Linked DNA regions of Bombyx mori. The protein of the gene in region 1 purifies or fractionates together with the protein of each later gene. This does not show direct contact. Links are inferred from orthologs where the notes say so. Each region holds a gene or a part of one and is shown in the gene's direction. Other genes may lie near its edges. The genes, in order: exocyst complex component 2, exocyst complex component 3 and exocyst complex component 5.

Region 1 (3,659 bases):
AATTGAAAAAAATATATGAAAAAATTGAAAATCAAGTAAACAAGGAAATATAAATAATAGCTTAAAAAAACTAACAAAATACGCTTTTATAGAAAATCCAACCAAAAAATAGAAAATAAATTTTAATAAATTTGAATTAAAAATAATGTAAGAAAAAATGATTTTATTGTAAAAAAAAGCGTGGGGTGCATGGTATCAGTAGCTATAAATATTTTATGAACAGATATGAGTAGAAGGGTTATTTTGATAATATCCTGAGAAGCACCATTTTTTCTTACACTATTTTTTAAACTATTATTTATACTTAACATAGCCGGTCGTCATATATTTAATACTTATTATAATTTTTTATCTTTTTATAGATATTACTTGATTAATTATATAAAGATTTGATTTCACTGATGCTTACTTGTTAATTCGGTAGGCAGCGGCTTGGTTCTGCCCCTAGCATTGCTGAAGTTCATGTGTGACGGTAATCACACACCATCAGGTGGGCCATATGCTCATCTGCCTACAAGGGCAATAAAAAAGAATCCTTTGACCACAGCAGAAAATGGCAACTTAACTGTCTGTCTTTGCACAAATATATCAGCTTAATTTTTTCTAATATTAACATTGGCTTCTGTTATTTGATGTTAATGTTGCAATCGTCTCAAACCCCAATTTGCACATTTAAATTACTCATTTTTTTTTAAACATTTTCCAGGAAATGATAATAGCTGGTGTCGAATTATTTTCGGAGCATATGCGCGCCTGTCTGCTGTCGGGCGGCGGCGTCACTTCCGCGGACGCGGCGCGGGCCCGGCTCGTTGCCAATCTGCGGCACCTCAGGGAGGCGTACGAGTCTCTGCTGAAATTGGATCTGCCCTCACAGGTACCTACAGGCTTGAGCTTCTCAAGTCACAAGTCGTCTTCTCGCATTAAAACTGTATAATCTCAAAACTTACTCATTCTACAGGAGAGCGTTTTAAAGGTTTAACATGTAATATCTTTAATATTAATCATCTTTGCAACATTTACTTTTTATTTTTTACCAGTTAGATTATCTGTCTTAAAGTAAGATAAAATTATGTATTAATTTTGTTAATAGTAGTCAAAACGTAGGTAAACTAAAAAAAAACTAAAACTAAACTACCCTCTTTTGAGAGTATTTATGGGAAAAATACTGGTGATACCAAATGTTTACGCATATTAACTCAATTTCGAATATTTTTGGAAATTGTACACTTTTAATGCGAAAAAGCGAAATGTGTTTTTTTTATGATTGAAGTGTTACTGGTGACACGTAGGCCTTTCCAGTTTCACCAGGACATGTGGGCGAGCAAACGCTCAGCCAGGAGGGGTGGGACTTGCTAACAGCTGCCCGAGCGCTTCCGAAGAAGACCTAACAACTCAAGAGTAGCTGCTTCGCGAATGAATCTACTACCGAATCGGAATCACGACCCGCTGAGAAGATCCGGCGAGAAACTCAGCGGGCTGATGCGTGGGTTAGGGTCATAAATGTTGTACCAATGAAAGTCCTTTAATCTTTACGTACAGTAGGTTAGACGGAATCGGGACGCTTTCCAATTCCAACACAAATTTTCATTGGCTTTTCTTAGAGTAATACCAATAAAATTGAGATTAAAACCGTCCGGAGGTTGAAATTTTCATATATGATGCATTATTATACATAATTCATTGAAAAATATAAACAAAAACTTAAAAAACGAGCTTGACCTGATCCACCTTGGTTTTTGGAGTGAATCGGATCACGTATGGGGTCAATAGAGTTTTTCGATAGGGCTGACACTGATTAGTTGTTAGGTAGGTACTTACCTTTAGGTGATTAACTTTTCAATATCTTTAATCAATCAGTTACAACACTCTGATGACTAAATTAAACTATTTAATATTCATAAACACTAAAAAAAGCCCTTTTAAATTCAACAAATTCAAATCTCACAAAAGCATTTTGACAACCCAGATTTTTGTCCCTATTCTACCGCTAGCCCCTATTCCCTCTTATCTAAGGTGCCTGAACATTAGATATGTGCGTAATAGCGGTGTTACATTTTGAATATCAACACTTTAATGGTGGTAGGCTTGTCCGCACGGGTAGGCACCACCGCCCTGCCTATATACAGCCGTTGTAACTATACTCAGACCTTAGAATTCATGTCTTAAGGTGGGTGGCGGCATTTACGTTATAGATGTCTATGGGCTCCGGTAACCCCTTAACAACAGGTGGGCTGTGAACTCGTCCACCAGCCAAAGCAATAAAAAAAAAAGTGGTAGCGGAAACTATACAAAATGAAATCTGATGATAATACGATTTGGGATTTCTGTATGGAAATCACGGAAATACGAGAACATGTACTTTATCAATGCAATGTACATGTTTGGAAGGAAAAAATTGTAATGATATTTATAATGTATGTCTGATAGTTATGTGTTAGATTTTTAAGTTACTAACATAGATTATAAGTAATTCTTACTAACAAAATGATATGGTTTTTTTTTTCTCTAAAAAAAATTTAAATCACTACATAGTATAAAATAAAGTCGCTTTCTCTGTCCCTATATCCCTATGTATGCTTAAATCTTTAAAACTACGCAACGGATTTTGATACGTTTTTTGGAGTTGGATAGAGCGATTGAAGAGGAAGGTTTCTATGTATAATAATATCCATTAAATAGTGGAGAAATCAATAATAAATTACAGTTTCCGAAGCGAAGCGAGGGCGGGTCGCTAGTAAAGGATAAAAAAATGTGTGTCCAGACAAACGGTTCTGATGCGAGCCATGGTTGGGAATAAAGAGTAAAGATCCTCAAGGGTCGGAGTTATATGGCCAACATTTGTCCAGTCCTTAAAATAGTGTGGTAAGATATGATTGTCCGGTTCAGTTTTGATTAAATAATTGTAACCGGGGTTTATTTAATTACAGCCACTGAGCATAGTGGAGCGCGTGATATACGACTACCGCGTGCACGGCATGGTCGTGTTCCTTCAGCGAGCTCTCAAGAGGGTTAAAGGTCTCGCTGACAAGGAAACCTGGAAGATCGAAGAGTTCACCGAATATGGAGCCATCACTAAACTGGTTAGGAGTTACGAAATTTGGATTTTTTAAATTTTTTTTTATTGTTTAAATGGGTGAACGAGCTCACAGCCCACCCGGTGTTAAATGGTTACTGGAGCCTATAGACAACTACAACGTAAATGCGCCACTCGCCTTGAGATATAAGTTCTAAGGTCTCAGTATAGTTACAACGGCTGTCGCACCCTTCAAACCGAAACGCGGTACTGCTTCACGGCAGAAATAGGTGGGGTGGCGGTACCTACCCGTGCGGACTCACAAGAGGTCCTACCACCAGTAAAGTAGTAGTAGTTTGTTTAACTACCGATACCTTTGCTCCAAGCATGGAGACGGCATTCGCGCTGTTGCGTCTGTGTGCTTTAGTAACCGCTACGTACTAGGTGATCTGTAAGTTCCACTGTGTCTCTTTACACTAACAAGAAAAAAAAATACATGTGTGCAATTTGTAACGTATATGCGACCTAATGTCGATTCTCATAACATTAATCTTTGCTGACCACTCTACGAAACATACTCTATGACTCCCCCGCCATATTGTCTACGACGTACATGTTACACGCTAGTAAAAACTGAATAATTGTG
Region 2 (3,759 bases), on another chromosome or scaffold:
TGGATGATTCAATCCAGTGGCAAAGCGGTCACGTAATTGTCGTTCCAGGAAGTCATTAGTGTAGCCACAATCCCGACTAAGACCTTTTAATCTGTTTGCATAGTGTTCCATCGTTTCATTTTGTTCTCTAGTGCAATTCCAAAATTCTGTTAAGGCTCTATACCTCGTCGTTTTTATGCGATAGAGGTCTAATAATTTGTTACAAATTTCGCTGTATGTAGCTATATCGAAATCAGGCGTTAAAGCTACTTTTAATTCGTGGAATATCTCTGGTGTTAGTAAATTCAGAAGCAAATCTTTCTGTAAGTCGCTGTTATCGATATCAAGAATTTTGCATTTGTTTTCGAAAAAATCAATGTAATCGTCAATTCTGAATGTATCTGGATTGTATTTATCCATATTGAAATGTTTGATTATACTTATCTTGTTATCCGTATCATGTTTTGTAAAAGAGTCGTTCGTCACGCTCTTGGCTGTTGTATTGCAAGCTGCTGGTACCAACAACTTCAAGATTTGTAAAATCTGTTCTTGCTGATTTTGTTGTGCATGTAAAAATAATGCGAATTGTTCATCGTTCATCTTAATTTTTTTTTTAACTCGTCGCCAATATAATAAAACAATGTTTTCAAGACATAGCATAAAATATAATAATGATAGGTGGTAAAAATGACAATGTGTTCGAAGTATATTTCAAAATAATGGAATATAGAAAAGAAGGTTACAACAGTGGGAGAATAAAACAAAGCCGTTAGATGTAACTTGGGATCCTCCAAAAAATCCACTGAAAAAGTCTCAGTAAATGACTACTATTTTACCGAGATTATATCTCGTCTCGTCTCGTCTCATCTTATCTTATCTCATTTCATACCATGTTTCTAATCAACTTCATTTCATTTCATATTATAGCTTTTCATATATTAAATAAAATGTATATATATACAAAAGATTAGATTGTATGGTATAACACCTTTGCCTTTCCAGTTGGAAAAATAAAACTAATAAAATTTTCTAAATTTGTATTTGTGTAAACACTGTAAACAGCAAATCTTGTTTACATCATGAGTTCCATGGATGAAATAGAGGAAGAAGCTAAAGCAGCTGCAGAAAAAATGGTCATGAACATGATGCAAAGACCTGGACAGCTTGAGAAAGTAAGCAATAAACTATCTGCTGTGCAAAAAAAATGTTAACCCTCCCACTATAATTAACTCATTCTGCGATTGTCTTATCGGCAACACTTTCAACTCTGTTTTAATTCTTTATCTTATATGAAAGTAAAATAAAAATAGATACCTAAATTAATAAAATAGGACGTGCATCTCACTTGATAGTTTGTGGGCTTTGAAAGTGTTATTTAATGTTATAAATGTGCAAGCAATCATCTGTGCTCTTCCCAGTTTGCGTTAATGTGGATCATTGCTATAGTCTTATTTAAAATGATGTGTGATGTAAATGTTTATTTAGAAGTGATTTTCAAACAGAAAATTTTACAGAACAGAAAATGTTAGCATTGAATGTTAACAGTTTAAAAAATACATTGAAAAACCTATGTGAAATGTAATATAGCTTAGCAAATATGCATAAATCTAAACATATTTTTTTAAAGTGTGTTACACATTGATATGTCTATCATACTTTTTTTTACCTCAAAATCCTTCAGTATTGTTCACTTTTAAAAAGTGGATGAAAGACCTATATTTTGTGTTTAAATGTATTAGATTTATATGTTCTACTTCCTATTTTATGTGTACTCAAAATTGTTATCTTTTGTATTAAAATTATTTTTACTTAAGGTAGAGCATTACAAGAAAAGAATCACACACAAAAAGGCTTCCATAGAAGCACAGTTAAAATCTGCAGTGCAGGGGAAGTTAGATGGAGTAAGTGTCGGGTTAAAACAACTTCAGGAATGTCTTGATGATGTGCAAGAAATCAGTAAAAAGTATGTATGATTTGTAGATATTTTATACTTTATTCATAGCTGTTAATATTCATTAAAGTAACTGAAAATAGAAGGATTCACAAATAGGTGTGTGACATGTTGGGTGACAACAGTCACATTGGGATGTACTCCAGGTATGGTAGGGTAAGCTCGGTCACCCATCTACGTATAAAATAATAATAATTACACTACCAAAAAAAAAAAAATTACTGAAAATTGATTTTACAGTGATTATTCACACATTCTTTTCAAAATTTCTGGAAATTAGACGGTTGTCAAGAAGAGATCTCTTTTACCAATAAGACCGCCTATTGTACAAAAGTATTTGCTTGTTGACTGTTTTTGAATGAAAATTGTGTTTTGGTATGCAATAAAGTATATTCTCTCTCTCTCTCTCTCTCTCTCACTGTTGAATATGTGTTGAGGGCAGGAGTACAACTAGTCTTTAGCTGTATTTTCTTTATAATATCGTCGGCTTATTGCAAGAACTCATTAACTGCAAAAAGTCACTAAATGCATTTTTATCTATAATGGGCTCATTTTTGCATACTCTACAAAATGCAAAAACACACTAATTTCTAACTGGCCAACTTTGGCCGTTACGTCTTTGGCAGAAAGTTGATAATTGCAACTTTGGAAGTCAGGCATTTACAAAGGTTCACTAAGCAGCACTAGTTATTTTTATTAAATGGATAATTATTTGAAAACAGCATACATTACATTACAGAACTCATTTGCAGCATCTAATTAATTTTATCAAAACAATGTAGTATAATATAGCTTAAAATTGTATTTCGATAAAATTCATTATTTACATTTAGTTAGTTTCCGTAATGAATCATTTCATCACAAATGCACAATAAGTAATCTTAATGATTTTTATCGATATTAATATAATATAAATCATAATATTAAGATTTCCATAAAATCATTTATTCTTTTACATTATTTTTTCATTTTGTTGATGGCATGATTTTAATAAGTTAACATCGATTAAAAGAACATAGTAACTTCTTGCAGGCTATGTGGTTCCTCGATTGTAGTTTAGTCAGTTATATAGGGTTTGGTGAAATGCGACAAAAGAGCGTTTCTAGGGAACATGGGGCATAGGACGAACCCGGGCGAGGGTGGGTTTGCGCGGGACGAAAGAGTACTGCTTCGCTCGGTCAGTTTGCGGTGAGATACGTTGATTACCACGCCTGTTATACAAGTTAATGATTTCTGACAAAATGCAACGAAATCAATGTTTCAAACAAGGACGAGGAAGCAATATGTTGGAACAATTGAAGTTCCGAACAACCTTCGCACAACCTAGCAAGCAAACGCCTGACCTACAATAATATCATTCTTTCCACGCCTGTAAAAGACGTTAAATGATACACTGGAGAACGGGCAACATCGTTATCTGAGAATCATACCAATGGACTACGATTGCCAACTTGTATTTACTGATAGGATGGTTGGTATGGCGTAGGGCAAGCCCGTACGAGCTGGTTGGTACCACCATCGAAGAGAAGCAGCCGTGCGGTTTGATTTGAAGCGTGGAGCAGCCGTTATATGGAACAATTTAGATTTAGATTTCGGGTCTCAAGGTGGTGGCATTCACATTAACACCAGCCTTTTTTATATTTTTTTAGAATTGAAGGGTTACTGGTGGCCCGGAGGCCTTTCCAGTTTCACCAGAACATGTGGGGTAGCAGAGGCTCAGCCAAGAGGGGTGGGATTTGCTAACAGCCGTCCAAGCGCCTCCGAAGAAGAACTAACAACTCAAGAGCAGCTGCTTCGCGAATGAATCTACTACCCGATCGGAATCACGA
Region 3 (3,659 bases), on another chromosome or scaffold:
GCCGCACACAGCCATGACTCTACTGGAGGTGGTCACGCAACATTTACTGATAGAACACGTTGATTATGCATTGGATTTGGGTCTGCAGTCTATACCTATCGCGGAAGGCAAGTCGCCACCTCAGGTTCGTAGATTTTTTACATTCTGGCAGCAAAGTATTCATGATGAATAAATAATAGTTTGAGTCTTTATTGTCATTACTTAAAGTATGGTTTTGGTTGAGTTATAACATTATTATATATTCATTATATTAGATCCATAGACTTGGAATTTAGTGATCACTGGTGTCTGTAAATACCTCAACGTTTAAGTTGAGGTATTTACAGACACCTCAGCTGTCTTTGACTCATGACTGTGATGTTTCAATTGAATTAAAGTAACAGCTTTACAGAGTAGAAGGCCTTGTTGATTGTTGATATACTCTTTTCCAAAATAAATGCAGAGAACAATGAATAATAATAATTGGTTTGTTTATTTTTAATAAATAATTTAATTTCAGATATATTTCTTTGATACTGTAAAACAAGCTAATGTAATTGTGAGAATGTTCGAGGAACATTTCCAGGAGTCGATTTTACCTTGTATAAGGTTAGTGTTTTGTAAAGATTGATTGTAATATATCAAATGAATTGTATTATGCTTATGTTCTATATTACTTTGAGTGTTGATCATTAGTGGCAAGCACATACCATTGATAGTTATACAGCAAGTATGATGCTGAACCAGCGCCCATATTACAATTAATCAACAACTGATCAATTTCGCACATTTATTTATTTGCTCAAAATCACGTTTAAATCTTATTTGAAAAATATTTTTTTGTCAAATTTGATAAAAGCATATTTTTTTTTATTGCCCTTGTAGGCAGACGAGCATACGGCCCACCTGAAGGTGAGTGGTTACCGTTGTCCATGGACTTCAACAATGCCAGGGGCAGAACCAAGCTGCTGTCTAATACGACGAGTATTCAGGAAGTTCATGTTTCGTGAGCCCGCTGTCTAAACGGAAGAGTCAATGCATCGAACGAGGTCGTTGACTTCGCGTGTTTACTGTTTTTAAGTGTTATACATTGCGTGCAATACAGAGGGTGTGGTGTCTTCATCAAATATTTCAGTTTCCCTTCTTTATCGATAAGAGAGCATAATTGATTATAACAACACGACACTAATGATTCAATCACAATTTTCTTGAGAACAATTACCTTGCGGGAGATATATAAGTGGTCGTTGTATGCATATGGGCTCACACTACACCGTGTCAGAACTGAAAATTTGGATGTAAAAATAGGTTATAAAAAAACTACAATTTACAGCTCATCGTCGAAACAAACAGAATGTTTACACAAGAAGACCGCTATAATGGACCAACTCGAGAGCAAACTTGACGCTGGCTTGGAACGTGCTATATCGGCTATAGTGAGCTGGGTGAAGCTGCATCTGCAGACCGAACAAAAGAAGACTGACTTCAAACCGGAAGGGGACATCGATACTATAGCGTCACCAGTAAGATTTTTTATTAAAACCCTTCGGACAACGTCGGTATCGTATGTATGTATAGATCGGCAAATTGGTTCGTGACATTCTTATAGTTTACGGGCGACGAAATATATAAAAAAAACGAGACTAATATTCAAGTTATATTTAAATTAAAATAATCTTGCGATTATTTAACACTTTTTACTGATTATTTATTAATTTAGCTGTAGTTATACGATGGAGTTTGAATTATGCTAATAATACGTCGTGGCCTAAAGGATAAAACGTCCGGTGCATTCGTGTCGAGCGATGCACCGGTGCTCGAATCTCAGGCGGGTACCAATTTTTCTAATGAAATACGTACTCAATAAATGTTCACGATTGACTTCCACGGTGAAGGAATAACATCGTGTAATAAAAATCAAACCCGCAAAAGTATAATTTGCGCGGTTAGGTACCACCACCCCGCCTATTTCTGCCGTGAAGCAGTAATTCGTTTCGGTTTGAAGGGTGGGGCAGCCGTTGTAACTATACTTGAGACCTTAGAACTTATATCTCAAGGTGGGTGGCGCATTTACGTTGTAAATGTCTATGGGCTCCAGTAACCACTTAACACCAGGAAGCTGTGAGCTCGTCCACCCATCAAAGCAAAAAAAAAAACAAAAACATTGTAAAACCATAATCACTTTTTCATGCGCTTCTCCAACACCATATATAAAACAATTAAAAATCTAAATATCTTCCGCAGGCTTGCCTAGCAGTGGTGTCCTATTTGAATTCGGTAATGGATAAAATACACGATGGTTTGGAAGACGACAATAGAAATTCCATCTCGTTGGAGCTGGCCGTGAGACTGCACAGGGTTATATACGAACACCTGCATAACTTCCAGTTTAATTCGGCAGGTATGGTTCATGTGATTCCACTGTGACTGCGAATGGATTGACTGTGGTGTTTTCTTGTTTTTGTTTTAAGCTGCTTTCAGACTACGCTATACTATAGTGTCATCTATATTTATACTAATATATAAATATACTTGGAGGAGGCCTTTACCCAATCCGAGGTTCTTTCTAACTAAAGTTTACAACAACTGTTTCATTACAAAACTCTCTTTTGCATCCTAAATATTAATATATACATTTATATTTATTATTAATTTTAAACTTTGTAAAAGCAAGAAATAAATGACTTATTGTTATATTATTATTATCTTCTCTATATATAAAAATGAATTGCTGTTCGTTAGTCTCGCTAAAACTCGAGAACGGCCTGACCGATTTGGCTAATTTTGGTCTTGAATTATTCGTGGTAGTCCAGAGAAGGTTCGAAAGTTAGATAAATATGAAAATGCTCGGATTTAAATAAAAATAACAATTTTGTTTTCCCTTTGATTTGTCTCCCGTTGGACGGATTCCTTTTGTTTGTTTTAAGTTTATTTTATACAAAAGTTTAGGTATTTTATTTATCGATTGAGGCACTACGAAGTCTGCCGGGTCAGCTAGTTTACTTATATTTATTTAAAATCTTATTCATTACTTGACCTGAAACTCGGTATCCATGTAGAAAATACATGTACTTAATGGATAGACTAATATTTATATCAGTGTTGGACTCCCTAATAATAATGACAGTAAATAATAATGTTAATTTTAAATGCCCAGCGAAGCAGGCGAGTGCGGCTAGTATAGTATATATAGCAGCCTATACTTAGCCAATAATATATGGTAGAGTACAGTGTGAACGTGTCCATAACAATGTATGGTGTGCGATGTTGTTGTGCTATGAGCTATATACTATATGCTATTATATAATAGCGTTGCCTGAAAGCGGCTTTACTGTCTGTTAAAACAACATGTTCTAAAAAGTATATATGTATAGCTCGGTGTTGCCAATTTTCGTACTCAAGGCTATCAGCTTCTTTTCAGCGAATAATCACGTTGAGTTGAAAATGGAGTCGTCGTACTTAGATCTAATTAAAAATTATATCAAGGTAGGTACGTATTGTGAGTCCGCACGAGTAGGTTCCACCACCCTGCCTATTACTGCCGTGAAGCAGTAATGCGTTTCGGTTTGAAGGGCGGGGCAGCCGCTGTACTGTTAATATTGAGACCTTAGAACTCTTGGCTTAAGCTATGTGGCAGCATTTACGTTGTAGATGTCTATGGGCTCTCGTAACTAATTAAC

What was found.
Region 2: the proteins of exocyst complex component 2 (region 1) and exocyst complex component 3 purify together in Homo sapiens (affinity purification with mass spectrometry; 6 studies listed by BioGRID and IntAct, counting the BioPlex papers as one, with this or other methods). This does not show direct contact. The link is inferred for Bombyx mori from reciprocal best matches to the Homo sapiens genes EXOC2 and EXOC3.
Region 3: the proteins of exocyst complex component 2 (region 1) and exocyst complex component 5 fractionate together in Homo sapiens (co-fractionation; 4 studies listed by BioGRID and IntAct, with this or other methods). This does not show direct contact. The link is inferred for Bombyx mori from reciprocal best matches to the Homo sapiens genes EXOC2 and EXOC5.

The regions. Positions count from the first base shown.
Region 1 is NC_085121.1:12,803,114-12,806,772, forward strand, and holds part of exocyst complex component 2, read left to right. Parts: intron 1-706; coding exon 707-874; intron 875-2,927; coding exon 2,928-3,080; intron 3,081-3,659. UniProt on the Homo sapiens protein: Component of the exocyst complex involved in the docking of exocytic vesicles with fusion sites on the plasma membrane.
Region 2 is NC_085118.1:10,563,333-10,567,091, reverse strand, and holds the start of exocyst complex component 3, read left to right. Parts: upstream 1-981; 5' UTR 982-1,058; coding exon 1,059-1,151; intron 1,152-1,793; coding exon 1,794-1,942; intron 1,943-3,759. Other genes in the region: uncharacterized protein LOC101740964, read right to left, coding at 1-639. UniProt on the Homo sapiens protein: Component of the exocyst complex involved in the docking of exocytic vesicles with fusion sites on the plasma membrane.
Region 3 is NC_085131.1:6,365,950-6,369,608, reverse strand, and holds part of exocyst complex component 5, read left to right. Parts: coding exon 1-124; intron 125-499; coding exon 500-588; intron 589-1,312; coding exon 1,313-1,502; intron 1,503-2,223; coding exon 2,224-2,380; intron 2,381-3,659. UniProt on the Homo sapiens protein: Component of the exocyst complex involved in the docking of exocytic vesicles with fusion sites on the plasma membrane.